Linked DNA regions of Rhinolophus ferrumequinum. The protein of the gene in region 1 purifies or fractionates together with the protein of each later gene. This does not show direct contact. Links are inferred from orthologs where the notes say so. Each region holds a gene or a part of one and is shown in the gene's direction. Other genes may lie near its edges.

Region 1 (7,219 bases):
AGAAACATTCTCAAATCTGGATAATTTGGCTGTTTATTGCTGCCGGTCTAGCTGCGGTTATCAGCTAAATTATTTTCTTTTCCTTCTATGATGGCAGCCTTAGAATGTCCTGGAATTTTGATAATTGCCAATTGTTTTGGTTGCTGTATGACATCTAAATTGAATTCTGCCGCCTGTTTTTCCCCCGCCCCCTTCTTCCGCCTCCCCCTGCAGCCTGTTTTCCGTCCTTATGGGCTGTCCTGAGGAAGTTAAGAAGCCTCACTGCTTCCATAACAAGTTGTGAGCTACATCAAACGTATAGAAACTATTAGAGTAAATATTGGCTATTTGATCTTCGGCTCATTTACAAGCTCCTGTTAGATCAATTAATTCAGTTTGGTGGGCTGATCTTATTCAAGTAAATAAGAAACTCAAATCTAGGTTTACCATGGAAGCTATTGCATATAGCATAAGAATAAATCATCCATATATTATTGGATTAGAGTAGAATTTCTGGGAAATTCAACATTATTCAAATCAGCTTTTAGTATCTGAGAGAAATAGGTGTACACCCCTGGGATATTACTGTCCAAGTAAACTCTGATCTTCCCAGGTGGAAAAGCAGAGATAGTTCCTGTCTTTTTCTTTTTCTTTTTTTTTTTTACATGAATACTGAAAAGGGTACTACATAAATCTATCACTGAAAATATTGGCAGTACACACAGGAATAGCTGATAATAGGGTATGTGGATTTGGAACCATAGGATATCTATTTAAAGCTCTGAGATCCTGTGCAAATCTCCATCCTTTCCCATTGGGTTTCTCTACTGGAAGGATAGGAGAATTACAGGTGCTCACACCTGGAATGATAAGCCCCCCGTTAAAGGTAATCTTGTATAATGAGCTAATTCCAGCTGGTGTATCAGGCTTCAAAGGATATTGGCAAATAATTAGGTAGAGGCAAAGAACTGTCAATAGTTACTTTAATGGGAGTGGCTAACTTAATATTGCCAATCAATATCTGTACTGGAGAAAGCCTAAAATTGTATTGGAACATCCTGTAACAAACACTCCGTCAGTATCAAGACTAGTTTCCTCTCATATTGTTTCTTTTAAAATCATTATTTTCCCATTCCCAATCTGATTCATTTAGTCCTAAATACATTTCATCCTTCTGGGAGGATATGTGAGTATCATTGGTGACAAAGTCTCACACTATCAGGTGAATTGGGGCAGATTTGAGTAGTAAAAATAGATGTTGCCACTTAACATTTCCTAGCTAGAGAGGAATGGGTTCTGATTTAAACAGACATTGGTTGATTAGATGTCCCTACCATTTGTACAGAAGCTTTACTCCAAGGGAGAGGGCAACTTAGCCTGGTGGTGTTAACAGAGAAAGTAGCCCCAGTGTTAGTAAGAAGGGGAAAAGCCCTCATAGTCCTTGGAGCAGCCCTATGCTCGCTTCTATTTCTTTTATTTTTCTTAAACCTATTTTAGTTTCCTACAATCCTTAAGGTAACTTGTCTTTTTACAATAAAAGCAGATTCCTCTACAGTAGTTTCCCTAGCAAAATTTTAACCGCGGATTCCCTTCCCCTCCGCCCAAGACCAGCTCCTCTCCAAAGGGAGCTGGAACAGAGTGGCAGAAGACAGATGGAGGAAAAGGCGAGCAGGTGCAGACAGGTAAAGCACACAGTGGGACAGTCGGAGGAGAGGGCAAAGTGCGGTGCTGGCACTGAGCAGCTGCAGGAACCTTCTTCAGTTTTGAGACGGTATCTAAAATTTCCTTACTAACTTCCTGGAGAGAAGACTGTCTCTCTATTCCATTTCAGAGGCTTCTTTCTATTTGCCAATTGAGGTAAGCATCCCATTCCATTTAGTTTGGTTTTTAAGCCGGCTTTTTCTAATTGTGCACAAAAAATATTAATTTAGATGTCGAAAGAGCTCCATTTTGGCCATCTGAAGTTGATATCACTTCTAGTTAAACCTTTCCATGTCTGTAAGTACTTGCAAGTAGACTCCCTAGAAACTGTACATCTGCAGGGGAATTAATGGAGGTGGGGTCTGGGAGCTTGTCAGCCTTAGAGGCACTACTTCCCACGTTAATTTTTAGTTTTCTTTTGAGATCTGCAGAGTCTGCACAAATTTCTAGTGATATTGTGTAGTGAGTTCAAGTGTGCTGCTTATGGGTGGAGCTCCAAGGGGCTGTTACCTCCCGAGTCGCTCCAACCCTCTTATGTGCCTCAGTTTCTCTCCCCAGCTGTCTAGTACAACCATGAGGACTCGGAGCGCTAGGTAACCAGTCTTTATGTGCGCGTCCCCGGACGAGTCAAATATTTAATTGCAGTTGTGTATTTAATTGTGCATTTAGTTGTGTATATAAATGTGCAAATATTTAATTGCAGTGGCCTCTGAGGCCACTGCATGTTTTGAGGAGTACCCCCAAACACCTCCACAAAGATTCTTAGTCACCTAAGAATACCCGAAATTCGAGCTGGAGGGAGTAAATGCCCCTTATCTTCGGAGTTCAACAAGTTCAGACTCTCATTTATCCAGCAAAAAGTTTTGTTCAGACTCGCAGTAAACAATTCCAATTGAAAAGCCAAAATTAAAACCAGCCACCCATTTTTCCCTCCTGTCCCCAAGTTATCTTAACTCTTTATCCTTAACCTGGGTTATCTCAACCCTTAACCTTTAACGCCAACTCGAGGTTTAAAATACAAGCAAACAAACAGCTCAAATAAAGTCAGGACCTCCTACCTTAAAACAGGAAGGTCCAAAATTCCAAGAAAAACTCACTCAAGTTCACCCGATGAGAGGCAGGGAGCCGGTGGGGCACAATGGGCTCTGCTGGTACCGAGCACCGAATCCTGGTCCGCAGGGTGGTCCTGGGTGGGTTTCTTTGGAATCCTGCTGACTATGCAAAGAAATGTCAACGAAAAACATCCAGAAAGAAAAAGCCTAAGAAAAAGCTTATAAGAGTGTACTTGAGTCAAAGTGACGACAACTGCTGGGAAGTAAAATCTCAACGGACTAAGAAAATGCTCCGCGAAATGGCGGATTGCAGCTTGTTTTATACAGAGAATCAAAGGAGGAGGGTTACATGAAATCCACTGGTGGTAGATTAAGGAGGTGGGAGAAAGCAAAGCGGGGAAATCTCTGGGATTGGATAAAAGTAAATTCGAGAGACAGGTACTTCTTTCACATAGGTGGGTACAGGACAGTTAATAGTTCTCATAGAGATGTTAACCAAGGGACAAGAATAATAATGAGAGATCGTGTACTTTCCTGCTCTGGTCCGGAAATAGCAATTACTGACATTCCAAGGATGTCATCTTAGGTGCAAAAAGACAATAGACAGGTCCTCTTAAAGGCACAGATGAACTTTATGAAGGAAGCTTTTGGCTAAAGATACGACTTCCTGCCATGGCCCACTTAGTTACGAAATTATTTTTATGCTCACGCCATCTTATGTGGTTATTTTCAGTCTCCTGAACGTGTCAGGTTTAATGTGTGGCCCCTTTTCCGTCCACAGTCTATTATGTTCACTGTCTATACTCTCCCTGGAATGTAAGGGGGTGCTTGGCTTCTTCCCTGCCCTGTGGTTGGCGGTATCTGATTGAATGAATGTATCAATGAATGAGAAGTTACTCATGGCCTCCTAAGTGTCAGGGGCTGGGCTGCTGGCTGAGCTTCCTGTATGAACTGGGTGGTGGGGTATCCAGGCAGAGGCGGGCTGGGGTTCAGGGGACGAAGTGGGGAGGACAGAGGTGGGAGCCCAACATAAGCACCAGGAGCTATACCAACCTCCCAAGCACGGGAGCCCCTTTAGATCCTCAGCTAATCCTCTAAAATGGAGACATTTTATAAATTCCAATGTACAGACAGGGAAAAATGAAGCTGGGGCCATTAGGTTGGATGTGATCAAGAGGCAACTAAGAGGACCCCCTACAGTTGGATGCATAAATATTTATGTAGCGTCTCCTAGGCCACCCATCCGTTCCTGGGAGGAGAGCAGACCCCCGATCCCATCCGGGCCGCAGTTTCCCCGCCCTCCGTTTTTTCGCTTCTGCCTGTAGGGATTCTAAACGGCCGGGACGTCCCGAGGCGGGCGTTGAGCGGAAACTACAACTTGCGCCCAAAACCACGCGAGACCTTCCGAGGCGAAGGTGGGCGACGCCATTCGCACGTCTCTCGCGCAGCCAACCATCTCTCTCGAAAGGTTCGGGTTGCCCTTGGCGCTGCTGCTCCCGGAGGTCGCTGCGTTCAGGCGTTCGCTGGCGACAGCCCTGAGCTGAGTGGGGCCTGACCGGGGCTGGGCGCAGGCTCAGTAGGCGCGGGTCCCGCCGGGCGCAGACGCAGTGAGTGTGAGTGGCGGCAGGCATGGACGACGAAGAGGAGACCTACCGGCTTTGGAAGATCCGCAAAACCATCATGCAGGTGAGCGCGGAGAGGGCCGGCCTCGCTGCGCCAGGCGAGCCGGACACGCAGCGGTCCGGGGGGCGGACGATGAGTGCAAAGGCTGCAAACGGGAACCAGCCTCCACGACCCCCGCCCGAGCGGGTGGAGTGGAGGAGTTGGACCAAGGCGGCTCCCGGGGCTGCATCGAGGGTCTCTGCAGGCCTAAGGGACCCCACAGACCCGCGCGCGGCCCAGTCGTGAGTCCGAGGTGCTGGAGTCGGGTCTGTCTGCCTAGGATGTTCGCCCTCTCCGTGTCAGGGTCTTGCGGACGTAAGAAAGGTCCGAACGACTCTGTAGAGAATATTTGGAAGAGTTTATTTGACGACATGCCAAGAAGCAAATCCTTCGATCCCAAATGCTTCGAGTTCTGCAGTTTCTTTTGTGCATTTGGAATTAAGGAGGGAAGGTGAGGAAGATGACAGGGAGGTGGGAGAAAGCCAGGTGGAACTGGATTAGGGAATAGTTAACGAGATTAACTCTTTGTGAGGGTGGTAACGCTGATTTCAAAGGTGTGTGAACCTAGATGCACATGAACAATGGACAGGCCAAGACAAGCCTTTTACTAAGAAAGTTATACACCTGGGTGTGACCACCCCCCGTGACCTTCCCAGTTAGGGGTTTAGGATCAGATCACCCTGTGAGGTTAACTTCCCATGGAAGCCAGTTTTCACCCACTGCCTTACTTGAGCTGGAGAGAGAGAGAGACAGTACACGAAAGACCACCTGGTCTTCCACTTGTTTACTTCCTGGAATCCTCCAGCATTACCCCACGTACGTGACACAGAATCCCAGTCTTGTGGGGTTGGAAGAAACCCGGGTCAGCTGATCTGACCTGCCATCCAGTGCAGGCATATCTCTCAGACCTGTGTCCGGTGGCTACTTCAACGCCTCAGCCAGCAACTTGGAGTTACTCTAGATACTAGAGTGACAGCAGCCAGCTGGCTAAGCAGTCACTATATGCCACATACTTTAACCCACCCCACGGAAGAGGCCAGGGTGATCCTCGGAGGCCCACGGAGGTGTGGGGTCTTGACCAAGATCACCCAGCGGCGCAGGAATCCTGCCGGGACTAAACCTGCGCAGCCGCACCCCGCCTCTCCACCGCTTTGTGAAGCTACGACAGACAGGGACCAAAACACATGTGCTTCAGGCTGACGGTGGGTGTTGGGGATCCTGAGAGGGAATCAGGCTGTGGGGACTTCACAGAGGAAAGGGGATGGGTGTAGGGCTGCTCTCTGACCTCCCCTTTCTTCAATGGGTCTTCTAGTCAGCCCATTCAAAGAGCCCCGATTTCTGAGGTGAGACCCAGAAGTGCCACCCTCAGAGCCCCTAGAGTCTACCCTTCCCACCTGGCTGTCTCCCTCTGCCCCAGACCCCAGGGCTGGCTCTGGCCTCAAAGAGCCCCACCTTAAGTCCCAGCCCTACTGCTATTTGCTCCCCAATTACGGCTGCCCCGAGGTTCAGCATAAAATGACACTATGGACGGCAGCTTGTAACCGGAGCAGTGCAGGGGCAGCCTCAGAGGCACCCGGTCTTTGTCCCCACCTGCCCTGTCCCTCTTCTCTGGCCTCTGCACACACCTGCCACACGGTCCCAAACTCCCTGCGTCATCCTCACGGTGGCCTCATCACGCCCAGGCTCTTGCTGCACTTCCCCCTCTGCCCTGGGGTCACCTGGCTCTTTCTGTCCACAGCTGTGCCATGACCGTGGCTACCTGGTGACGCAGGATGAGTTGGACCAGACGCTGGAGGAGTTCAAAGCCCAGTTCGGGGACAAGCCAAGTGAAGGGCGGCCGCGGCGCACGGACCTCACAGTGCTGGTGGCCCACAATGATGACCCCACTGACCAGATGTTTGTCTTCTTCCCAGGTGAGGGCCTTGCCAGTGCCTGAGGTGTCATGGTTCTAGTCGGGCCAGCCGAGCGGCAGCGCAGGGTCCAGCTCATCGCAGCCCCCTGCTGTGTGACTCAGAGTCAACGGTGGCCCTTTTCCTTCTGCCTACCCTGAGGAGAGAGCTCCTTCATGCTGTGGGTGATACCACTGACCTCTGACCCCTCCAAGAGCCTTTTCCAGTTTCCTCCTCAATCCACTTCCCCATTCTCTCTTCCTCAGCCATTTTCTCCGACCAGGATTACCATAGACCTTCCCGCCAGGGCCCCAACCACTCCTGACCTCAGACCCACTCTGTCCTCTCTGCCCCACCTCTCACCTGTGAGTGCAGCTTCCACTCCCACCAGCTCCTTCCTGCACTGCTGCTCACGGCCCCCCGCTGAGCCCCAGATTGAGTGACGAGCCCACTTAGGGGTGTGTTGGGGACCCCTTGTTCCTCTGTCTTAGTGTCTAACCCGCTGGTGTCGACTGGCTCTAAGGCCTGCAGAAGTTAGGGGCCAGCAGTGTCCAGCATCTTGGGGCACCCTGCACTGAGAATCAAGGGGCTGGGCAGACAGTGTTTGCAGAGCGGAACCTTGTCGCACTTTTTCAGAAAAGTGTCCTGTGTATGAGATGTGGTTATTGAAGCCCTTGGTGCCTACTCATTGGCGTCCCATGGAGCCATCTGCAGACCTTCAGGGCCAGGACTAGGAGGTTTGACGGCTCTTGTGGGTCTTTGGTGATGCTGGGGCCACTGGCCCTGGGACGTGCTGCAGAACAGGCTGATGCTCCTGCCTGTGTTGGTCTGCTTCAGCTGCCATAACACCAGCACAGAACAACAGCCATTGCTTGTCCCTGTCACTAGAGGCTGGAAGGCCAAGATCAAGGTGTCCGTTGGGTTGCTTCTGTCTCA
Region 2 (7,460 bases), on another chromosome or scaffold:
TGAATTGATTTCTTACTGTTAATCATTAGGGTGCTTCCAGTATATCAGTATTCTAAAGAGAACTATAGTTTTCACCGTAAACAGGAAAACACTCTTAAAGAGAAAGAGATTTCCAAATCAATATTCACTTCTAGAACGTAGACTCTTTTGAAGCCTAACAGATAACAGCAGCACTGATCATTTTCATTGTAAAATTCCCTTCATGGTTTCCCCACATTTCCTATCTTCTTTCTAAATGAAACTTTTGTTCTCTTATCTGGGAGGATCCAAACCAGACACACGAAGCTAAAATGGATAGATTAGGATCAGCAGTAAGGAGTTACTTCACCAAATTCATTCAACCGAATGTGGCTTAACCTGTATAGCTTTAGGCATATTCCAATTTCTCCCTGAAGTTATAGCCAAAACTATTTCTTCTAACATAGACACTAATATAGAGTAGAACTGACAAGAAAAATGATAAAAACCTAAGGTAGTTTCAGGGCAAACGTTAGGTAAGCTATTGCTATTGCCTACACACACTTCCAAATGTATCAAGAAGAGCTGTATCCTAGAGACTGCAGAAGGGAAAAGTAAAAGTTGTCAAAACCTCGCAGCCTAGTCCCACTAACACAATTATGACTCTGCTATGCAGTGAATAAACGGGCAAGACGTGAGATGGCTGTGACGCAGTCTTTCCCACTGATTGGGAGAAGAAACTTACCTACGAAGCTACAGCTCATTAAAAGCTGATGTAAAACTCAGTACTCAGCCTCAGGTGTTCAGAGGACAGCACTCATGGGTGATGGTTCCCGTGATCCAACTTGCACAAAAGTACCCCCTTGAAATGCAAAATAAGTCAAGACAAAGAAAAACTTTATTCGTGTTAAGTTGGGTCTAGCTCTCTTCAAAAAGACATGCAGATTTCCCGAAACTTTCATCCAACTGAAGAAACAATGCATGCCTAATATATGCTGAGTCCTTACAGCGAGGGAATCTCAAGTTTATACAAAAAATTATTTTAAAAATCTTTTCAGCGTGTCCTATACATATGAACAGTCATACTACTGACTTAACAGTGTTTGAGTTAGCGTTTAGCTAGCAACAGAGACAGATTCGTACTGAATCAGCCACTTACTGACCTGTCATTCTTCCAACCAACATTTTCCAGATGACAGTCTGGGTTCAGGAGATAGAAACGGTCATGAAACAAGATGAAGCTCACTGGCTGATCTGCGCATCAAAACTCTACCTCTGACATCACTGCACCTTTTCTTAAAAATGTGTAACAGTGACTTCCTAAATGTTTCTCTCTTCTCCCTCAACTCACTCTTCCTTTCCTCCCTTAGTCTATGCTATTCTCCGCAATCGGAATTCTACCTAGCCTGCAGAACTCAATTTAAAACCCATCTCTCACTCTTTCTTTGGCCTCGCCAATGCTATCATCCGGGATCTCCCTCCCTCTGAATTCTAAAGCACTTCTTACCTATCCCCATTCACCTTATATTGTTAACTATTCCAGTTTGTCTAGTCTTTCTGAGGTCCCTAAGGGCAGGAATGAATTCTAAAGCACTTCTTATCTATCCCCATTCACCTACTATTGTTAACTATTCCAGTTAGTCTTGTCTTTTTGAGGTCCCTAAGGGCAGGAACCACACATAGTCCTAGGTACTGCCTTGAGGACATCTAGCAGAGAACCTAGAACCTTGTGGTATGCAGAAGTAGTCCTGTTAAATTCAATTGTGTTAGGCCTCAATTTACAAACCTGGCATCAGAGATAATAAATCAGACTAAAAAGATCAATAACTTCACCTCTGGGCATCAAACTAAGATTTAGAAAAACACCTGCCGTCTTTCAAATTATCACTTTTCAAGAGCACTTTACAGTGAGGCCTTCAGGTGATTTTAAAAAATAAAAAAAGTTGCGGAAAATTAGACTGTTTTCTAGCTCTTAAAGGCAAATAAGTAAACAACGATTAAAAAGACCAGAAGAAAGAACTAAGGTCACGATGTTCAACAAAGCATCACATTCAACATGTCACTGGTCACACACATACTGGACAAATCCCAGGCTCCATCTTTGTTGACAGCGAGATTTCTGGGGGCTCTGATGTCCCCTGGGAAAAAAACAAGGCACCTGCTCTTCCCCGCACTGAAACATGGCACAAAGCACAGGTGCATGCACACACAAATCCGCAAGCAAACTAAGTAACAAGTACACTGACAAGAAGAAAATTCTGCGATGTTTTAAATTAAAATTACAGAGGCCAGAGTGACAGACAGAACAGTTAGCCTGTTAATAGCTGTGGACCAGCTCTGACAAAAGATTGCTCACATTCCTTCCATTGCCTGAAGGAATTTCGGATTAATTTCCAGGTGGCTATTTCCGCAGATTATTCCAGCCAAGCACCACTGACCTCCAGGAGCCTCCGCTTCTTGTTTACACGTGGGCTTTCCGGACTGCTGCCCACAGCCAATCCACAGGAGGGGACATTTCTTCTTGTGGACTCTGAGCCTATCCCAGAGCTGGCCCCACTTCCCACCCCTTGCCTATAGCTAATGGAATGTAAATTCTCTCAGACAGTTTACACCTTTCTTCCCCCTTCCTGCTACCTGATGTACAAAAACAAAACAAAAAACACTTGCAAACTCCGCAGGTGATGGACATGTCTTCTTTCCTACCAAGCTGGTGGTTTAGACTCGATGCCCCAAGACAGTCTTTTCTTTTGCCTGGCAATAGCCTAATAAACCCTTTCCATTACAAAGACTTGAGACCTAGGCCAATGAAGTTCAAATTTTGTGTTTCACAAGATGAATCTATGAAGTTGGGGCAAACAGAAAGGAAAGAAAATGCCATAAAAGCCTTTAAAAAAAAAAAAGTACAACTTTTAGGTGAAAAGGTTAAAATCCCTTTAGGAGCTTATTCACAGGACTCCATTCGTGTGTCCAAGAAATAAGACACAGACATACTTTAATTCAGTAGGCTTTCTCATAGGTTGTATCAGAGACACTATAGAATTAAGTTGTTAGGGAGACACCCTGGCTTAAGACTGAACCTGGATACTTCCAAGGAAAAGAACCCTAACTAATTCCAAAGATGGGTGGCCAAGAGATTACTATTCACCCAGGTGTGTCTCCCTGAAGAAACTAGGACCCAACCCAAACAGCTTCTGGGGTTGGCCAGCACGCTGCAGAAGCGCTGTCTTCACTACCGCTCTAGGGACGCACTGACCGTCTGGCAGAAACGGGTGAAAACCAATTTATGTCAGAGGACGCGGTCCCCAGCATTCTGTCCTGGATCTTTTCACGAAGAGACAGAATGGGACAGGGGCGGGGCAGGTGGGTGGTGCTCAAGACCCTGGCAGGCCAACAACGACAATACCCAAGTTGAAACAACATGTCCTGCCTTCTTCCTAAAGCCATTTCCTTCAATAGTGAGAGGGAGGACAGTCTGCGAGTCGTTAGTACACTGCTGTTTTCACTTTCACAACAACGCTGGAAACCACTGAAGAGCGAAATCCCCCTCCGCCCCAGTTACCTTCCAACCCTCTTCTTCCCGTGCTTCATTCCCTAGAGACAACCGAATAGAGGCCATCCTCATCGATCCGCTATTTGGCTTCATTAAGGGTAGGGTGTGGGGGGAGGCAAAGGGGAAAAGGAAACAGAGGAAGGCGAGAAGCTGCAGCAGCAGAAAGAGTCTCGACAGGGGCGAGGTCACTGTGGGAAGGACACAAGGTGAGGAAGAGTGCAAGGAAAGTAAGGCGAGTTGTCAGGGGAGAGGACTTGCTAAGGAAGAAAAAAGGTGGAGGGGGGCAGGTCAAGAAAGGAGAGGGCGTGAGGGGCAGGTGGAGCGTCCGAGGGGGGATAAAAGGCGGGGCGGGAGTTCAGGAGCAGCCAGGATCGGGACGCCCGGGGTCTGGGGTCAGCGACCAGAGACAGTGGGCAGCAGCATCTGGGAGACCGATTTCAAGGGTGTAGAGGGGAGCTGAAGACCCATTCCGGGACTCCGGGGCGAGGAATCCACGCCAACGCCAAACGCAGGGGACACTGGGCTCTTACCGGTAGTTTGGGGCTGACCTCGCCCTTGCAGAAGTGGCAGAAAAACCGATGCGCGGCGACGGTGGCGCCTGAGCCCGCCCCGGCCGCCGAGGCCTCCGCCATTTTTCTCTTCCGCCGCGGCGGTCCGAGAGGGCAGCCGGCCCGTCCCTCGCCAGGCCGCTACCTCCCGGGTGCAGTCGATTCCGCTGCCGCCTCGGTCGCCGCTTCCTCACTCTGGCCGGCAGCTCCAGCGCCCAGGTCAGTCACGTGAGGCGGCGGGGCGTCGGCGCGGACTGCGACCCCAAGGCCCGCCTCCAGCACTAAAGAGGCACAGGAAGGAGAGTCCGCCCGCCGGCTCCTCCGACAGCCTTTCGCCTGTCCTCCAACCTACCAGCGAGAAGAGAGAAAGAGCGTCTCCAGAAACCACTGAGACTCTGGGGTAGAGCGGCCCAGGTTTTACCCCTTTCCGGGTCCTCCGCGGTGCCGGTCCTCCTGCGAGAAAGGGCCGAGGGCTCCCCCTGCCATAGCGGTAGCGGGAGCCGCGCGAAGTCGCCGCAGGGAACTCGGCGGCGTTAGATTGCCTTGACCCAGAGGTTAGTGGAAAATGCTGCCTGAACGAGGCGGCCGGCTCTCTGGACCGAGGCACCAAGCCCCGAACGGGAACCTGCGTGAAGGGAGTAAAGAGCCAGGAGCCAAGATCCTTGCAAATCCTTTGCGAGGATGGCAAAGGGTGTGGGGATGCTTCCGCAGAGACGTGTGGACGGGGATACTGAGGCCGAGAGGCAAAGACTTGCTTCTGAGGAATTGGGAGAAATAAATGAACGCACTAATGTTTGGTAGCACTTGGGATAATAAGAAAGTAATTATATAGTCAACTACGTCTATTTCTGTATCTACTTTGTCAAGAAGTAGAAATTTCAGACTATGGCCCTGAAGACAACATACCCCATTTCCTATTTGAAACACCGTGTTGCGAAGCTCTCCTTTACCTCTTAATCTCTTCTAAGTTGTCATTTCCTTTATAGACTGGGAATGACACTGCCTGTTCACTCCCAATGGGCTGTGGTCTTAATTCTTCCAAACAACGAAGTATAGAATCTAAATAAAGTCTGTGACATTGCAAAACCATCTAATCCTATCTTTAAAGAAAATTAGAATTACACACAATCCCATAAAGATCAATGTGATGTATAGTCTTCCAGTCTTGATATGCATACATGACTTTTTATTATTGAATATTTCTCTATATTTTGGGTTGTAGTCTGCTTCTTTCACTTAATGAACAATTTTCGACGCTAGTATATATTATACATCATTTTAAATGTTGAAGTAGTATTCCATTGTGTGGGTATACCATAATTTATTGAATTGATTTCTTATTGTTAATCATTAGGTTGTTTCCAGTATAGCAGTATTCTAAAGAGAACTACAGTGATATCCTTTTATGATTTCCTTAGAGCAGAGTATCCAAAACAAAGTTATTAGGTCAAAGGCTTTTGATATGTAATGTCAGATTGCCCTCCAGAAAGTCCATGAATTTATACTCAGCAGCTCTACTCCCAACATAAAAACTTCCCATCATATAGTCTTTTTTATTTCTTCCTAGCTCCGAGTCCCCTCAGTACAATGACTCAAGCAGAAATTAAACTGTGCTCTTTGTTGTTGCAAGAGCATTTTGGAGAGATTGTGGAAAAAATTGGAGTCCACCTCATCAGAACTGGCAGCCAGCCACTAAGAGTAATTGCCCATGACACAGGAACATCCCTGGATCAGGTATGTTTGGATGATATTAATTTGCTTTCATTTCATTAATTTCTGTTACCTACCTTTGAATATTGTTACTCCCTACCTCACGAAATGGAAAGGGGGAAATCCTGCTCTCGGATCAGACCAGTGTTATTTGGGGGCAAAGGATCCTGGCTCCTCGTGGCTCTTAGGCAAATCTTTGCTCTTCCTTTGCCATATCTCATTTACTGACGTTGAGCCTATTAATCTCAGTAATGCTTTTAAGGAATGAGAATAATAGAGGAGAAATTAATTGTCCTTTGAACGATACAGATCAAAGTATGAGCATCACAACAAGGAATCTTCCTGGTTTCTTCCATTGACATGTGATTTTTATTAGCTATTCCAACGGAGGGAAGAAAGCGCAGAAATTATCTGGTCCTCTCCTGATGCTTAGTACACTGTTGAACAAAAATTGCCAACAATAACGAGCTGTCTCCAGATCTTTTCCCTCTTTCTTTTGGGTCTTATCTAGGTAAAAAAAGCCCTTTGTGTCCTCATCCAACATAACCTGGTGATATATCAAGTACATAAACGCGGTGTAGTGGAGTATGAAGCCCAGTGCAGCCGGGTGTTGAGAATCCTCAGGTACCCCCGCTATATCTATACTGCCAAAACACTGTATAATGACACTGGAGAGCTGATTGTTGAGGAGCTGCTGCTGAATGGCAAAATGACAATGTCAGCTGTCGTGAAGAAAGTGGCAGACCGGCTCACAGAGACTATGGAGGGTTAGTACTGTATCCATAGCTGTTAGCAAAAGCATACATTAGCTGGCTGCAGGAGCGGACCCTCAGCTATCTTCAGCCCTCTCACCTGCTTCTTCCTCCTGTTGTACAGACGGCAAGACCATGGACTACGCTGAGGTAGCAAACACATTTGTGCGACTAGCAGACACACATTTTGTACAGCGTTGCCCTTTGGTGCCTGCCGCTGAGAATTCAGACGCTGGGCCACCACCACCTGCCCCCACTCTTGTCATCAATGAAAAGGACATGTACCTGGTTCCTAAACTGAGCTTGATAGGTAAGGAATTTGAACCCCTGGACTTGTGACTTGCCTTAATTGTAGATTCTTTCTCAATGATTGTTAAATGAATGAATGAAGGAATCGAGCAAATACTTTCTTAGTGATTGTTGAATGAGTGAGTGACTAAATGAATCGAGCAATTACTCTGTGCCAGATACTTTGGTCTAAAATGATGAAAAACCATCAGGGTCCCTACCCTTTCAGGGCGTAAGTCTACTGTATGCAACTTACATTAATCAAATAACCATATAGATGCATAACTAACAAACTGTGATAAATACTGTGAAGGAAAAGCATGAAGTGTTATGCAAATATATAACAGGGGACTGGACTTACTTCGGGACTTGGGGCACATGCTCCTTTGAAAAAGTGGCATTTAAGCTCAGATTTGAAGCAGGAAGTAGAAGCCAACCAGTGAGGTAAGGTATGAAGGGGTACAGAAGATAAACATTTTTGGCAAAAGGAACAGTATACTGAGAAAAGAATAGGGTATTTGAGGAAGCAAAAGCAGGTAAGTTAATTAACGCATGGTGAACAAAGGAAAGCGAACCGTGAGATAAGGTTAGAGATATAGGCAGGGGTTAGACATGCAAGACCTCATAGACTATCTGTTCTTTATCCTAAGAGCA
Region 3 (7,311 bases), on another chromosome or scaffold:
TCAAATGAAATTACAGTATGACTGTTAGGGGTGTTGGAGTAAGGGGAGTGTTTGTGGTGGTGGAGGTGGCTAGAGTTAAATTCTTGTCCTCATTAGTAGGAAGTCAACAGAGAATGCCTAAAACTGATAGGGGAAAAAAGCAGGAATATAAGCATATTGTTTAGACCTATGGAGAGAAATATCATACCAGAAGAATCTGCCAGAAGTTGGAAGTGCTTGCCTGGGGCTAGAGGGGTAGGCATACTGCTAATTTTGATAATAAGCCTTGTAGGATGGATAGTGGACTCATGTACAACTTTGATAACGTTATCAAATTAAAGAACTTAAAATATTTACTAAGTTAAAAATACTAATTTCGCTAAATTAAAAATTCATTATAGTAATTAATATATTGAGCATCTACTGTTTGATTGAATCTGAGACACCCTTGATCTTAAGATGCACCATTATTTGATGAATTAATAAGAAAAACACTGAAAATAAACTATATGACATTGATCATAAGATGTAGGTCAATTTTCGACATATTAAAATGTGAAAACGTGTCTTAGAAACAATGATGTATGTCAGACATTGGGCTGGGTATATACAGTTATCTCTAACCCGGCGACAAACCTCAGTATTGTGACCATTTCACAGATGAAAAAAAGGAGGCTTAAAAGGGTCATATGGGGAAAGCATTTGCCAGGAATGTTTTGATTGATCAAGAAAGAAAGAGGTTCAAAGATCAGATGTCATCGTAGTCCCAACATAAACAGTGCCGACTGATGCTTGATTCCCATGACCTAGCAGCATCTTCCCAAGACACCAGAAGTATTTCCAAGGCTGAACTTCCCAGGAATTGATGGAAGGGTGCCACCAGTCATGGAACCTGCAGTTTGATCTGACTCAACACAGGAAATCTCATTCAGGTCTGTCAGATGGAGCTTTGAGTGGGCAAGGTGTAAGATGAACGCATGTCCCAGTTTACCAGGGAGTTCTGATTCATGCCCGTGAATTAAACATTTGTTTCAGAAAAAAAGTGCCATGGTCACCGTGGTAAGGGTATCAGTGCTCTGTTCACAACTAAAGGGACAAAGTTCCTTTGGGGGAGGCCTAGGTGGTCACGTCGATTTCTTGGTTGCAGGTAACAGAAATCAAAGCTGGTTAGCTTTAGCAAAGAAGCAATTTGGGGGGAAGGGAGTGGTCTACAGAATGGAAGGTAAAACTGAAAGAATCAGACCTCAGAAGCAGAGGTACCAGGGCAAGTGTGGAGGAGATCTAGGAAGCAGAAGGTGACAGATTAGAACAATCTAAAGGAAAAGAAAAGAATGTTTGGTTTAAGGTCACTGACAAATGACCCGTCAACTGGGTGGGTAGAGAACGCATTTCCCAGCACAAATCTCAATACTAGTGATTTCATAAGAAAAATGCTTAAGCATTTTTATTAGGAATGTTCATTTCTTTCCAGAAGAAGATTCATGTGGCAAGAAGGTTTGGTCTCAGACCAGGTTTGCAATGATTTTCCTTGGACAGGTGCAAGGGAGTGAAGTGTGGAGGGGGTTCAGACTGAGCCTCCTTGCCTTCGTCACTGACCACTGCTAAGGGCTTACGATACAGAGACAGACACAGACACCCTTCATCTGACAGCCCCTAGATTGGCAGAGGGGGACAAGTGGGCAGTGTTTGATCTGGGGTGCTAGCCTTTCTCCCCTCCACCTGCCCCATTAGTCAGGGACAGGGAAGTAAACGCACCAAGGGATAGTCCAGGGTTCAGCCCTTCCCTCCCTCCCCTTACCTAGAGCTCCTGGGACCCTGTGGGTCCAGGAGTTCTGATGCAACATTCCACTTCAATCCCACCTCTGATGGTCACCAGACAGCTGTGTGATGGGGCTGCCAGACTGCAAGAAACTCCCTTAAGTATCCCATTCAGCATGTACTGTAGGGACAGACCTGAATTGCTACAGAATGCTCTGGCAGAAATATCTCTAGCATCATTTGATTCCTTACCATGTGAGGGTGAGGTTTATTGGTTACAACTGACAGCTACCAGGTAGCACCAGCTTTAGCAGAAAAGGGCTTTATTACAACGATACAGGGTTGCCTCCGGGAACGTGAATCCCACTGGGTCCTGGGAAGGGTCCTGAGCTGGAAGCCAGAAAAGCAGGACTTCTCTATGACTCTGCTCTTTTCATTTCGTTGTTCTGTCTTTTCCCACGCACTGGTGTTTCTCTCCTCCGATCCACCTCACAGACTGGCCACCCCACGTACACCTTTCTCCCTAGTCCCACTCAGTCTCAGAGACTAACTCCAACTCTGAAAACAGTCAAATGAACAAATCAGGAACTCACCCTGTCCCAATTCAGATTCTCAAAAGAGAATCTGTGTGGTCCAACCTGAGTTGCCTGTTCCCATGGAACCCACTGACCGGGGTGTGGGGCAGGGATGCACGGCACAAAGGTGGGTGCCAGGGACCCACTCTCTGGGCTGATCAGGCAATTCCTAGAAAAGTGGCATTACGCAGAGACCCCTTATCCTGCACTATGGGAACTTTTCCGTTTGGAAAACCCAGCACACAACTCACAAATACAGTCCTTCCTGGCTCTACAGCCTCATGACTAAATCAGTGCTTCGATTGATCTCAGGGACGATCCCTCATTTAGCTTTAAACCCCCCACAATGCCCAGCCTGTATCCCCAATAAACGGCTACTTCTGTATTTTTAAAAAAATGCCTTTAAAAACAACAAACTCTCCTAGAGCAATGAAATCTTTGCATAGCAACACTTATGTTAAAAGTAAATGGAGAAATAAAACCAGGTTAAAGTAGACTTGAAGAGTAGAAATATGGAATGTTAAGTCGTGTGCACAAATGTTAACTTGTGTGCCAACTGGATATTAACCAGAAACTTGAATATAACAATATAAACAACTTAAAATGACCATATTCATAGTATGGAACAGATTAGATCTATATGTGCCATAATAGACCTAAAAAACATAATGTTGGAGTAAAACAAGTTGCAGAATGATACTGGTACACAGTAGTAATGTTTACATAAATGAAAAACATAATAGAAGACTGTACTATACATTGTTCATGGGTATATACACACACACAGACAGACACACACACACCCAAATATTTATATAGACATGGAAGTGTCAGAAGTGGATTGGAAGGATACACATCAAATTCATGACAATAGTTACAACAGGGCAGAATGTTTGGGAGGGGGCTTTATTTTTATTTCTAATGGTGTAATATAATTTTTAATGGATTTTTAAAAGGACAACATATTCATACCATTCCCTGCGTAATAAAAGTGTATACAAAGGGTAAGAATTGGAAGTGAAATACCATAATATTAAGAGGGTGGGAATATGGATGGTTATTTTTTCCTTTGTACTTTTTCTGTGTTTTTAAACACCTGTATACATCAACATGGATAGATGTTTCAAAAATACAGTTGGGTGAAAAAAATCCAGTGCATATCAATACCAATAGTATGATAATATTTATGTAAAAACCCATGTTCACTAAAAACAAAACATCTCTTTTCTACAGATACCTATATCTGTATGAATATATCCAAATAAATTCACAGCAAAAAATACAAAGGCTGTATACTAAGCTGATGACAATGGTTACATCTGCGGAGGTTACATCTTAGGATGGGGTCAGAGGTTTTAATATCTTGCAATAATTCACGTATTATTTGTGCCCAGCTCCCCTGGGGTAGCCTTCGAAGCCCCTGGTGCGGGTTACTGCCGGAACCCATCATTTCTCCCTGAGATTCCTAACCCGAGTCGCGTGGGTTAACCTAAACTCTCCTGGTTAAACGCCCGACTCAATACAAGCTCTTAAACTGCTTTGCACTTTAAAACCTATCAGGAACAAGTCTGGGCCTAAATAGCAGAGCAAATATTTTCTTTTAACTACATGTATTCTAAATACTTTCATCACGAGCAAAAAAAACCACATATTAAACTAGTAACGTGGCGTTACAATCGCTTGTAAAGATGTTAAATAGCTCTCTGGAAAAAGGAGGCATCACACAGGTAGCGTGGCCGAGCGGTCTAAGGCGCTGGATTAAGGCTCCAGTCTCTTCGGGGGCGTGGGTTCGAATCCCACCGCTGCCAGGATCACCCTTTTGCCCCTGGGGCCTTCATGCCACGTTCTTCTCCGCTCTGTTTTGCAGGTGCACCAGCGCCCCCTGCTGCCCGCGGAGCTAGCGGCCGGCGTGAATGGAGCGACGCAGGGGGCGGGCCCGCGCGGCGCCGGGGCGGGGCATTGTGGGTAAAAGGAAGCGTGCGGCCGGGCGTGCTCCTCCCACGTGTCCGCTGGAGTTTCTCCACTGGCAACATGGCCGCTGCCTGAGCAGAGAGCCCAGCCGCCGCCGCTTGTGCAGCCCGCGGGGACCTAGGCCGTTGCCGCCGCCCGCGCGTGGCCGCCGCGGAGAGGTGAGTTCGCGGTGGCAGCGCTCGCCGGGCCTGAGCCGGGCCACACGCGCGAGCTGGGCCGGGGCTGTGCTGCGGAGTAGGCCGGGAGGCCCGCGCTGTGCCCGGGGGCTGTGGCCACCCGCACTCGTGCGGGAGGGACAGGCAGCCGGCGCCGGGAGACCCAGGCCGGACGCGCACTCCGACGTCGGCCCGGTGTCCGGGAGGCCGCGGCCTCGGGCGGTGACTCAGGATCCAGCCGTCTTGCCCCGCTCGGCCCAGGCGGGCCTCCGGCGGGGACACCTGTCCTGAGGAGGCCCGTGTCCGGCCAGCGTGGCGGCCGGTGGTGGTGGCTGCGGGGGCGGGGCGTGAGGAAGGGGCCTGACCGCGCGTGGGGGAGGCGAAACCCACTGGACGGTGCGGGTCCGCGCTGCGGCCCGCCCCGCGTGGCCGGGGGCGGCCGATACCAGCCTGCGGGCGTCGCCGCTGATCCCCAGCGGCCCGGTCCGGGCGTTCCGCGTCCGCCGCCCTGGCCCCCGCTCGGCGTTCGTTCCTGACGGGTCCGCCGGGCCGGTGTCAGTGGTGTGAGCGGGTGGGTTAAACCAGTAAACACCGACGGGGCGGTTGGCTCGGGCGTCGTCGGGATGGGGCAGAAAGCGGAGGTCTGAGCAGTCGCTCCGGCTTCGTCACCTGTGAAACAGGCTCGGACTTTTCTCCCTCCCTGGACTGTGGTGAAGGCTGAGGACGGTGACACGGGGGGTGGGGGGGCCCCAGCCTGCAGCGTGCGGTGTGCGGTTGGGTCCCAGACCCTTTTACGTGGAAGGAAAACAGGTTGCCTGCTGGTCACAGGCCGCCCCAGGTCACATCGATTACGGTAGTTAACTCTCATCACCGGCCTCTGGGGGCCGGGACGTGTCACCATGTGGAGGATGAAAAGGGTGAAAGTCCGGGTGGGCCGCGGGCGGCGAGCGGCACGCGTGGGGCTTGAACCTGTGCCGCGCAGCTTGGGAGTCTGGGCTCTTACCCACCAGGCCAAGCTCGCTTCTGTGAGCCGGGGTGCAGCACAGCAGTTAGGAATGAGAAGAAGGATCTTGGCCATTAGCTCGACCCGGGGTTCTGTGCTGCTGCTGTCATTCATTCCCCCGTGTCGTGACCTTGGCAAGCTACTTACGCTCCCAGCCCCCGTGTCCTCTCTCCGTGATCGTGGCCAGTCTTGACTTAGGGGGCTCTGGAGGAGGTTCAGTGAGAACGTATGCCAAGTCCTCTCTAGACAAGGGTCCGACCGACCCTCCTTTAGGCTTAATTAGTTCTTCTCGTCCCCTAGGCCAACTCTGCCATGACACAGGTGGAATCGGGTGACGCAGAGGGGAGCTGCCTTGTCCAAGGGGCCTACAGCGAGTTAGAAGCCAGGCCTTGAGACTGTTCGTCCTGGGGCCCTGTCCCCTCAAGTCCTTTGTGTTTTGTCCTCGCAGACCTCTCCCTCCCTCACCAGCTTTTGGAGTTGCCGCTGCTCTCTGATTGGCCGACAGGTTAGACTCCTGGGTGCAGCACAGATGCCCCCCATTGTGGCCTTCAGGTACCTCTGCTCTGGACCCCTCTTAGCTCCATCTGGTGTCCATTTGTTGAGCAGCTCTCTGCGGAGGGAAGTATCTTGTGTCCAAGGCCACAGAGCCTCTGTCACCGAGTCCCCTTGTGGCCACAGGACACCCTGCGGAGGCCCAGGTGGTTGGGTCTGGCGGGGGTGCTTGGCTTGTGGCTGGGTGGCCAGTCCCTGGCTGTTCTCAAGGGTCCAGGAGGCCACCCCTCTCTGCTTGGGGCGGAGTTAGGCCCACTGGGTTGAGGCTTTGTGACTGCCTGCTTCCATCCATTCGTTTACTCGGTTGTTTGAACTTCACTGAGCACCCTTCATGCCAAGCCCTGTTCTAGGTGTTGGAATAACGGTGAATTTCAAGAGAGAGAATGACCCCCTGACAACTTGAAGTAAGTGTGACTCTCCCCACTTTCCGGTGGGAGCGTGGAGAGGCCCTCCTGCAGCTCACAGTCTAGTGCAGAAGACTGATACATATGCAAATAGACGCGGTAGCTCCAATGGTGAGAAGAACCATGAAGGGAACAGAGCAGGGAGATGTGGTAGTGACTGGGGCGGGGATTGGGGTGCAGATGCTTTAAGATGGGGTGGTCAGGAAACCTGTGTGTGGGTGGGGGTAGTGGTGACATCATGAAAAGGAGCCAGCCTGAAAAGACCCGGGGAGCAGAGGTGATGTGCAAAGGTCCTGAGGCAGGCTGGGCTTGCAGGCCCAGCAGGAGGCCCACCTGCCTAGGTGGGTGATGAGGGAGAGGCAGGGGCAAGATCCCCTAGGGCCTTGGGAGGGCATTTGGGTTTTAGTCTGTGTGACAGCCGACGGGTTTTGAGCAGGGAGACGATGTGATTTACCCTTTTATCAGGACAACTCTGACTGTTTCTGGAAGGACTGGAGGTAGGAAAGAGAGACCACAGGAAGACTTGCTAGAGCAGTACTTTCCAAATTGTGGGTGAAGATTTATTTCAAATTGTGGGATGAGAAATCAACTTAGGGGGACATTAACCAGCACTTTTCATTTTCATGAGCAAGGGTAGAAACCATCACTGTATCACTTAGAGCACTGTGTTTCCCCGAAAAGAAGACCTAATATAAGACCCGCTCTTATGTCTTACATTAATGTTTGCTGCAAAAGACGCATTAGAGCTGATTGTCCGGCTAGGTCTTGTTTTCGGGGAAACATGATATTAATTTCTGCTCCAAAAGACGCTTTAGGGCTTGTGTTTAGGGGACATCATCCTGAAAAATCATGCTAGGCCTTCTTTTCTGGGTAGATCTTATTTTTGGGGAAACATGGTAGGACAGTTACGGCTG
Region 4 (7,739 bases), on another chromosome or scaffold:
GATGAGAGGCAAATGCCTATGTAAACAGATGAACTTGAGACTTATTGCCAAATGACCGATCAGTGTACAGGCACAACGCATGAATAACGTGTGCACTTGATAACAAACGGACGTGGTTGTGTCCAATATGAATCTTCAGAATTCAATACATCATGTGTTGTAATGGATGTACTTATTGCACTCATGTGAAATAAAGAAACATTTTCTGAATTTTGGTGCCTACAATTTTTCGTCGCTTTTGTGTGGACCATCATCTTAACTGCCATCATTTTTGTTGCCACTCCTGTGTCGTAAGTCTTCAAGTAACACTTGATTTAATGGTAGATTTAAAGGGAATAATATTTTGATCCCCAGACAAGATGAGTGCAAAACAAAAGAGCTATTCCGTCGAGTACAAGAAAGGAATCGTGGGGGACTCCCGGGGCCAGAATCTTAAGGCTTTCTGCAAAGAGAAGAAGTTGGATCTCCGAATGGTTCAAAAATGGCGAGCAGAGTACAATAGCCTCAGTCAACAGGTGTACGAGGGAAACGCTAAGAAGCACAAGTGTGGATCAGGTCAGTAATCATTATTTCCTGAGCTGGAAGACATCATCTGTGAATGGACTGCTGACAGGAGAGCAAAGGCTTTGGTTGTGCACAGGGCTGATATTCAAGCATTTGACCTTGTAGTGGCACCACAGTTAGAAATACCCCAGAAGAATTCAAAGCCTCGCAACACTGGCTGGATGTCTTCCTTCAGCGATATGAACTGTCTCTAAGATCGACAACACTGTTAAAGCTGGAAGATACTGAAGTTATTAAACGTGCACTTGCATTCCAGTCCTTTGTCGATGGCAACAACTTTTATAAATACCAGCTCTCCAACATGATTGTTATGAATGAAACTGCAGTGTTTATGGGCCAAGGATCTCAAATGACAATTGATCAGAGGGGTGCCTCGTCAATCTACATTCCCTCCACTGGTTACAAAAGTGCATGTGTTACCTGTATTTTGGCAATTCTTCTGGGTGGAAAGAAAGCCCCACCTCTAATCGTCACTAAGGGCAAGAAAAATAAGTTTGAACATGTTTCAGGCATTTATGTTCTTGAAACCGAAAAAACCTGGTGCACACAAGCAGTTATAAGGAAGTGGGTCAATTTAATGCTGCCACTGGTTTTGCCAGGTGGCCAAAGAGGTCTGCTAGTCTGGGATTCAGCCAGCACTCACTGCGCTAAAGACATGAAGAACTTCCTTGCAGAGAGAATAGATCAAATAATTATTCCCGCAGGAATGACTGCCTGTCTCCAGACTCTTGATATGGCAATAAACAAGCCATTCAAGGACCATTTGTGTATGGAAATCAATGACTACATTGAAAATAGAATGGAGGGAAATCTGTGGAAACTTTGTGAAGCCTAGCCTGTAAGAGGTCGTGACTTGGGTGAAGAATTCATGGGATAAAATCACTGACAGCTGTGTTACTATTGCACTATGAGCAGGCTACATGGACAAGAAGTGCTCATTTAAGGAGCGCTCTATTGCTGGACATGAGAGATTGGGGCCAATGGTTCTACAGGAAATGGAGTCGCAAGAAATTCAAGCTGCAATTCGGGGTTTGGAGAGTTATGACGATGTTCCAGAAGAAGATGATGACATGACTATATTTGAATAAATGTGGATTTTTGTACATTAATAAATGTAGATTGTTGTACATGAAAAAATAAGACATCCCCTGAAAATAATCCCTAATCTGTTTTTTGGAGCAAAAATTAATATAAGACCGGTCTTATTTTCAGGGAAATACGGTAGATCAAATCCCTGGCATCAGGTAAGCAATAAGTCTTACTCTTCTAGACCTTCCCTGGGTGACTTAACTTGAAGGCTTCATTTCTACTTCAAAAGCTCCATCTCCTGATTTTCTTCTGAGCTCTAGACCTAATAGCTTCAGTGTTCAACAGAACTTTCCACTTGGAAGACATACAGACTTTGCTCAAATTCTGTGCTTTTGTTTATGTATTTGCTACCTCTGCTTAAAGGCCAGTTGTTGAAAAAGAAAAACAAGACACTTACTAGGTTTGTGTGCTTTGGGTGGCAAAGAACAGGGACTCATTAGGCATCCTCAAGTTAGGAAAGCTGCAAGGAGGCCCCGCCTGGGGCCAGTGCAGGTGGGAGTTTCAGCCTTTGATTGTCCCAGCTTGTTGGCTGGGTTAGCTCATCCTGCAGGATCCTTTTGGGCAGCCTTCCCCTGGGAGAGGGTCTCACTCCTGACTACAAAGCTGCTCGTAGGGGATAAGTCAGGTGACTGCATGTGATTCCCAAGGTCTTAGGGTGGCCACCCTTGGAGTACCTGGAGCTCAGCCATTTTATTGTGGGGCCTTCAGAGGCACTAGCCTCTCTTGTATGGAAGCTCATCCCTGCAGTTTTGTGTTTGTGTGCTCCTCCCCTCACCCAGCTCAAACCCCCTGACTTTATGATGCCTCTCCACCTCATTAGTCATTTCCTCCTCTGCTCCTTGTGTTTAAACACAACATATTGTAGTTATCGATATCCAGAGCTGGTTCCCAGACTAGGCTGTCAGCCAGGCAAGAAGTATACATTGTTCACATTTGTTTCACCACCGCCACTGTTTGCTGAGTACAGAACACATGTGTGTCTTTAGCACTGCTGGGGCCTGGGGTGGCATTTTATTAAAAAAAAATTTTAAGTAAATTAGTGTTTTTTAAAATAATATTTTTATAATTTAAAAATAACATGTACATTGAAAAATATTTTAAAAATTCTGAATGTGTAAAGTTAAATGTTAAAAATTCCCCTCAGTTCTCTTCTAATCCAATACCCATAGGCAAACACCAGTAAAACATTTTTTAACAGCTTTGTGGATATTCAATATTCGATTCAGATACCATGCAATTTGCCCACTTAAAGTCTACAAGTCAGTGTTTTTTTTAAGTATATTTATAGGGGTATGCAACTATTACTACAACCTAATTTTAGGACATCACTGTTTCCCCCAAAGAAACTCTGTATCTATTAACTGTCACTTAGCATTGCCTCCCCTCTCCCAGCCCTAAGCCATCAGTGATCAGTGATTAACTTTCTGTCTTTATAAATTTGCCTATTGTTGGACATTTCATATAAATGGGATCATAAAACATCTGGTCTTTTCTGTCTGGCTTCTTCCACTTAGTATGTTTTTGAGGGTCATCCATGTAGTAGCATGTATCAGTAACTCCATTCCTTTTATTGCTAAATATAGCATTGCATTGAATTAATATAGCACATTTTATTTATCCAATCATCAGTCACTATTAACAATTAAATACAATTCCTGTATTTGTTCAGATTCCCTGGGTTTGAATCCCTGCTGGGCAAGTTCTTAGATGAGTGATCTTGGGTGAATTGCAATCTCTCTAAGCCTGCCTCTATTTCCTCAATAATAAAATTTGAATAATGATGGGATTGACCTCATATAGTGTTATGGTTGTATTGTCACAGTAATTAATATTTGTTGAGCCCTTACTACATGCCAGGTACATTATAAGGATTACCTAACGGATCTATGATTTTCAGATTAGGGAATTGAGGTTAGGAGACGGTATGTCATCTCTCAAGGTCAAACAGTCCCTAAGAAAATGATGGAGGTAAACAGAATCACAGGCTCTCTGACTATAAAGCCTGCACAATTAACTGTTAATATCATGGAATAGCAAAGTGCTTAGCAAGGGCCTTACGAAGAGAATGAGTTTAGTAAATGATAACTAATAGAACTATAAAAAAGAAAAAAATAGCAATTGACTCATCATCTAAGGACACGTTCCACTGTTAATATTTTGGCACATTTCCATCCGGTCTTTAGGAAATATTTCAGATATATTAAAAAAAATCCAGAAAATAATAGACATCAACCTCCAACCCGTTTTGTATTCGTGCTGCCGAAGCGAGCACAACCTCCAACCCGTTTTTTTCCCTAAAAGGCTTGAAATGTGGTAGATTAGGTTGCTTTACCTCCCAAACCCTTATTTTTTCCTACGTATGCATTATTTTTCCTTAGGTTAGGGTCACACCACATCATTTTCTATCTTTAAAAAAACCCTATCTTGAGCATTTCCCCAGGGTACCAAATATGCTACATAACCTGTCATGGCCGCATGTTATACTATATGACTGAAACATGATTTATTAATTCCCCAGTGTTGGGCATTTAGACCATCTCCGAGTCAAAACATCACTACACGTTCATCTTTCTTAAAGCACCTGGTAATTGCCTTTGGTAAGTTCCTAGAAAGGCCGGAAGATCAGACTGTGCTTGACGGTAAGGCTCTTTATGCGTACTTTTCTTTTTTTGCCAAGTCGTTCTCAAGGAAGAATGGAAAGAGGGAGAAGGAAGGATGGGATTTTTTTCCCTTTTAAAATGTCTTATCCAATTAAAACATATATACACAAAAGTGGACATAAGTGTACAGCTCACTGAATTTTCAAAAACTGAACACACCGCGTACCCAGCACTCAGATCATGAAAAGATTATTTCCAGCAGCCCAAAGCCGCCTCACCCCCTCACCGTAACGTGTCCGAGGGGTACGATTTTAACGTCGCAAAGGTTTACTAATGCGGTGACGTCTTTGAAATCTTAACATGAGCTAAGTTCTGTGTGCAAACGCTTCACAGGCTGACGTCAGGCTGGGCGAATGGCACCTACACCTGAAAGAGAGCGCAGCCGCCCGTAAGGCTGCACCGCCCGGTCCGCCGGGCTCCCGGCGTGCAGCGCGGCGCTCCCGGCGTGCCCCGCGGCGCGCGGAGCGGGCGACCTGGCGTTCGACGCCGGCGGCCGTGAGGTTTGAGGTCGTGTGTGTGCTGGCGGCCGGAGGCGACGAGGCGGGGTCGGCATGGAAGTGTAAGCTGCCCGGGGCGCGTTTCCGGCTGTGGGCCGAGGCTCCTGGCGAGGGACGGCTGCATGCTGGGGGCCGAGAGGCGGGGACACCGGGCGACCCCCAGCCCGGGCTTGTGGGAAGAGTGACGCGGCGGAGGCGGGGAAGAAAGAGCCTCGCTTTGCCCTTCTGAACCTCCGCCCGCACTCCCACCCGGTGCCTAGGACTGGGGCCAAGTGCCTTTCACGGTGGCTGCCTCCTCCGTTATTCATTTACTAGCGTCTTCTAAGTCACAGTAGGGAGTCCGGCCGGGTGTCCGAGCGGGAACTCAGAAGGTAGAAAGCCTGGAGTCCGCCCTGGAAGTACCTACGGGACAGACGGATAAACTGTCCGAGGCAGTGGGCTCCTGGGCGGCCCTGACTCAGAAGTGCCACCCGAGTTTGATGAGGAGCAGTTAACCCTGGGAGGGAAGAGGCGAGTTTTCTGGGAAGAAGAAAGTGCTTGAGCCTGGATTGTAACCACGGAAAGAGCCGAGGAGAGAGAGAGAGAGGGAGGGAGGGAGGGAGGAAGGAACAGCCATTCTGACAGTTTAACTCCACCTGGTCTTTTTCATGTTTGCTCATTGTACTACATGCAAATGGAGCTTTTGCAGCTACTCTGCATGTGTGTTTTCACATGGTTGACATTAATTCGTACGCATACCTATATTGTGTCATCTTTGGCACTGATTATTTAATACATTTTTCTTTACGTTCTTTTGCCTCATGTTTAATGGTTATATATACTACTATTGTTCAAACTTAAAAAAAACACACAATACGTATATGTACCTTAAGTGAAAACTTAATGAAACAACACCTACCGTATGCAGTACACTTTGATATTGTCAAAACTACTGAAAAAGAGTCAGGAAGCTCTGGCTAGAAATAAATGAATAAAAATATTTAAATAAAAAGATTTATTCAAGGGTCTTAAGAGTTTGCTAAGTGGAAGCACAGCTAGGCAAAACTCTCAAGAAGTGTTCCGAAGAAGAAAGAAAAGTTGAGTTCTTGTAGTAAAAGTTATATCCTTGAGAATAAACAGTCCTGCATTTTAGGGCCTCTGATTGGTTGAGGACAGTTATCAGTCAGATGTCAGGTGGTCTGGATGATGAATGCCCATGGTCTGGAGGATGAGTGCCAGGAGGTCTGTTCTGAGTCCTTAGGAGTAGTCAGAGGGTTATCTGCAGGTTTGATGTATGTCTGGGCATTGACACTCAACAGACTGGTATATATCTAGGTATTGATGCAGGACTAGAAAGTTCCAAAGTTTCAGGTCCGGGGCTAGTTAAGAAAAGACAAAGAATCGTTTCCTCATACTTCAACCTTCATAATGTTAATAATTTAGCAGCTTGGTTAAAGTGACTCCATTTTATATTTTCCCCATCTTCATTCTTTCCTCAGTTTCTACTCATTTATTAAAAATGAATGTTGACCCTCTAAATTGATTTCGCTATTCACTAACGGGGTTTAATCTGCAACTGGAAAAATGTTCGTATTACTCTACCTCAAACCATCATTATCAATTTCCCCGTTTACTAGAGCATTTCCTGTCAGCATACAAACCTGCTTTAATTTATCTATATTAAAAACTTCCTTGTTTCCACATTCATGTCCACTTACTGCTCCATTTCTGCTTCCCATCATTCCTGTCACAACAAAACTTAGAAGTGTTGTGTATCCCCTCATTCACTCAATCATTCTGTTCGGCTTTAATCCTCACCAGTCTACAGAAATGGGTCTGTGAAGATCACCTGAGCCCTCCGTGTTGTCACTTCCAAAGGCTGATTTTCTGGCCTTAACTCTCTTGATCTCTTAGCAACAGTTGGTACAGAAACTAGAAACTCTCTTGGCTTTCTGACATGCTTACCTGGATTTCCTCCTGAAGACTTTCTCAGTCTCCTTTCCTGGCTCCCCCTTCCTCCCTTTCTTGGCTTCTAAATGTTGAGGTATCTTACGACTCATACTGGGACCCTTTTTCTCCACACTGTCTCCCCTGGTCATTGTACCCATCTATATGCTGATGATTCCCAAAAGTACATTTCTAGCCCTTTCCCCTCATCATTCATCCAGTTGCTTAGACCAAAAATCTAGCTTTTTTTTTTAAGGAGGTCGCAGTTCACAGTGGCCCATGTGGGGATCGAACCAGCAATCTTGGTATTATTAGCACCATGCTCTAACCAACTGAGCTCACTGGCCACCCCAAGAATCTAGCCTTTTTTCCTCACCCCTAAATCCAGTCCATCAGCCAGTTCTGTCATCTCCACTTTCAGAGTATATTTTAATGTAGTTGCTTCTAACCATGTGCAATACTAATTTTCTACTCCAACTCTGATCTGGATTAAGCAGTAGCCTTTTTTTAAATTAGTTTCAGGTGTACAAAACAATGTAATAGTTAGACATTTATCATTTATATCCCTCACAAAGTGACAACCCCCCTCCCCCCATCCACTACCCCTCTGACATCGCACAGAGCCATTACATTTCCACTGTCTCCATTCCTAATGCTGTACTCCACTTCTTGTATGTATATACATACATATAAATATATATATATATATACATATATATATATATATATATATATAAACTTGTAGTTGACATTCATTATTGTTCAGCTTCAGCTTCAGGTATACAGTGCAGTGATCAGGCATCTACATCATCCCTGAGGTGGTCTCCCTAATGAGACAAGTGTCCATCGGCTTCTCTATAAAATCTTTACATTATTGATTACATTCCCTAAACTTACTTTCCTATCCCCGTGGCCCTCTTGTGGTTACCACCTGCTTTCTAATCCCCCTCACCTTCCCCCTTATCCCTCCCCCATGTAGCAACCCTCAGGTTTTCCTCTATGT

What was found.
Region 2: the proteins of POLR2E (region 1) and POLR3C purify together in Homo sapiens (affinity purification with mass spectrometry; 4 studies listed by BioGRID and IntAct, counting the BioPlex papers as one, with this or other methods). This does not show direct contact. The link is inferred for Rhinolophus ferrumequinum from reciprocal best matches to the Homo sapiens genes POLR2E and POLR3C.
Region 3: the proteins of POLR2E (region 1) and POLR3E purify together in Homo sapiens (affinity purification with mass spectrometry; 5 studies listed by BioGRID and IntAct, counting the BioPlex papers as one, with this or other methods). This does not show direct contact. The link is inferred for Rhinolophus ferrumequinum from reciprocal best matches to the Homo sapiens genes POLR2E and POLR3E.
Region 4: the proteins of POLR2E (region 1) and CRCP purify together in Homo sapiens (affinity purification with mass spectrometry; 3 studies listed by BioGRID and IntAct, with this or other methods). This does not show direct contact. The link is inferred for Rhinolophus ferrumequinum from reciprocal best matches to the Homo sapiens genes POLR2E and CRCP.

Annotation. Positions count from the first base shown.
Region 1 is NC_046301.1:61,883,400-61,890,618, forward strand, and holds the start of POLR2E (DNA-directed RNA polymerases I, II, and III subunit RPABC1), read left to right. Parts: upstream 1-4,209; 5' UTR 4,210-4,361; coding exon 4,362-4,418; intron 4,419-5,067; exon of another isoform or gene 5,068-5,578; coding exon of another isoform or gene 5,579-5,596; intron 5,597-6,132; coding exon 6,133-6,307; intron 6,308-7,219. UniProt on the Homo sapiens protein: DNA-dependent RNA polymerase catalyzes the transcription of DNA into RNA using the four ribonucleoside triphosphates as substrates.
Region 2 is NC_046305.1:50,080,729-50,088,188, forward strand, and holds the start of POLR3C (DNA-directed RNA polymerase III subunit RPC3), read left to right. Parts: upstream 1-4,458; 5' UTR 4,459-4,610; intron 4,611-4,700; exon of another isoform or gene 4,701-4,876; intron 4,877-5,623; 5' UTR 5,624-5,643; coding exon 5,644-5,790; intron 5,791-6,277; coding exon 6,278-6,533; intron 6,534-6,642; coding exon 6,643-6,828; intron 6,829-7,460. Other genes in the region: E3 ubiquitin-protein ligase RNF115, read right to left, coding at 4,039-4,140. UniProt on the Homo sapiens protein: DNA-dependent RNA polymerase catalyzes the transcription of DNA into RNA using the four ribonucleoside triphosphates as substrates.
Region 3 is NW_022680357.1:16,770,235-16,777,545, forward strand, and holds the start of POLR3E (DNA-directed RNA polymerase III subunit RPC5), read left to right. Parts: upstream 1-4,307; 5' UTR 4,308-4,441; intron 4,442-5,741; 5' UTR 5,742-5,946; intron 5,947-7,311. UniProt on the Homo sapiens protein: DNA-dependent RNA polymerase catalyzes the transcription of DNA into RNA using the four ribonucleoside triphosphates as substrates.
Region 4 is NC_046290.1:99,603,556-99,611,294, reverse strand, and holds the start of CRCP (DNA-directed RNA polymerase III subunit RPC9), read left to right. Parts: upstream 1-4,730; 5' UTR 4,731-4,864; coding exon 4,865-4,872; intron 4,873-7,739. UniProt on the Homo sapiens protein: DNA-dependent RNA polymerase catalyzes the transcription of DNA into RNA using the four ribonucleoside triphosphates as substrates.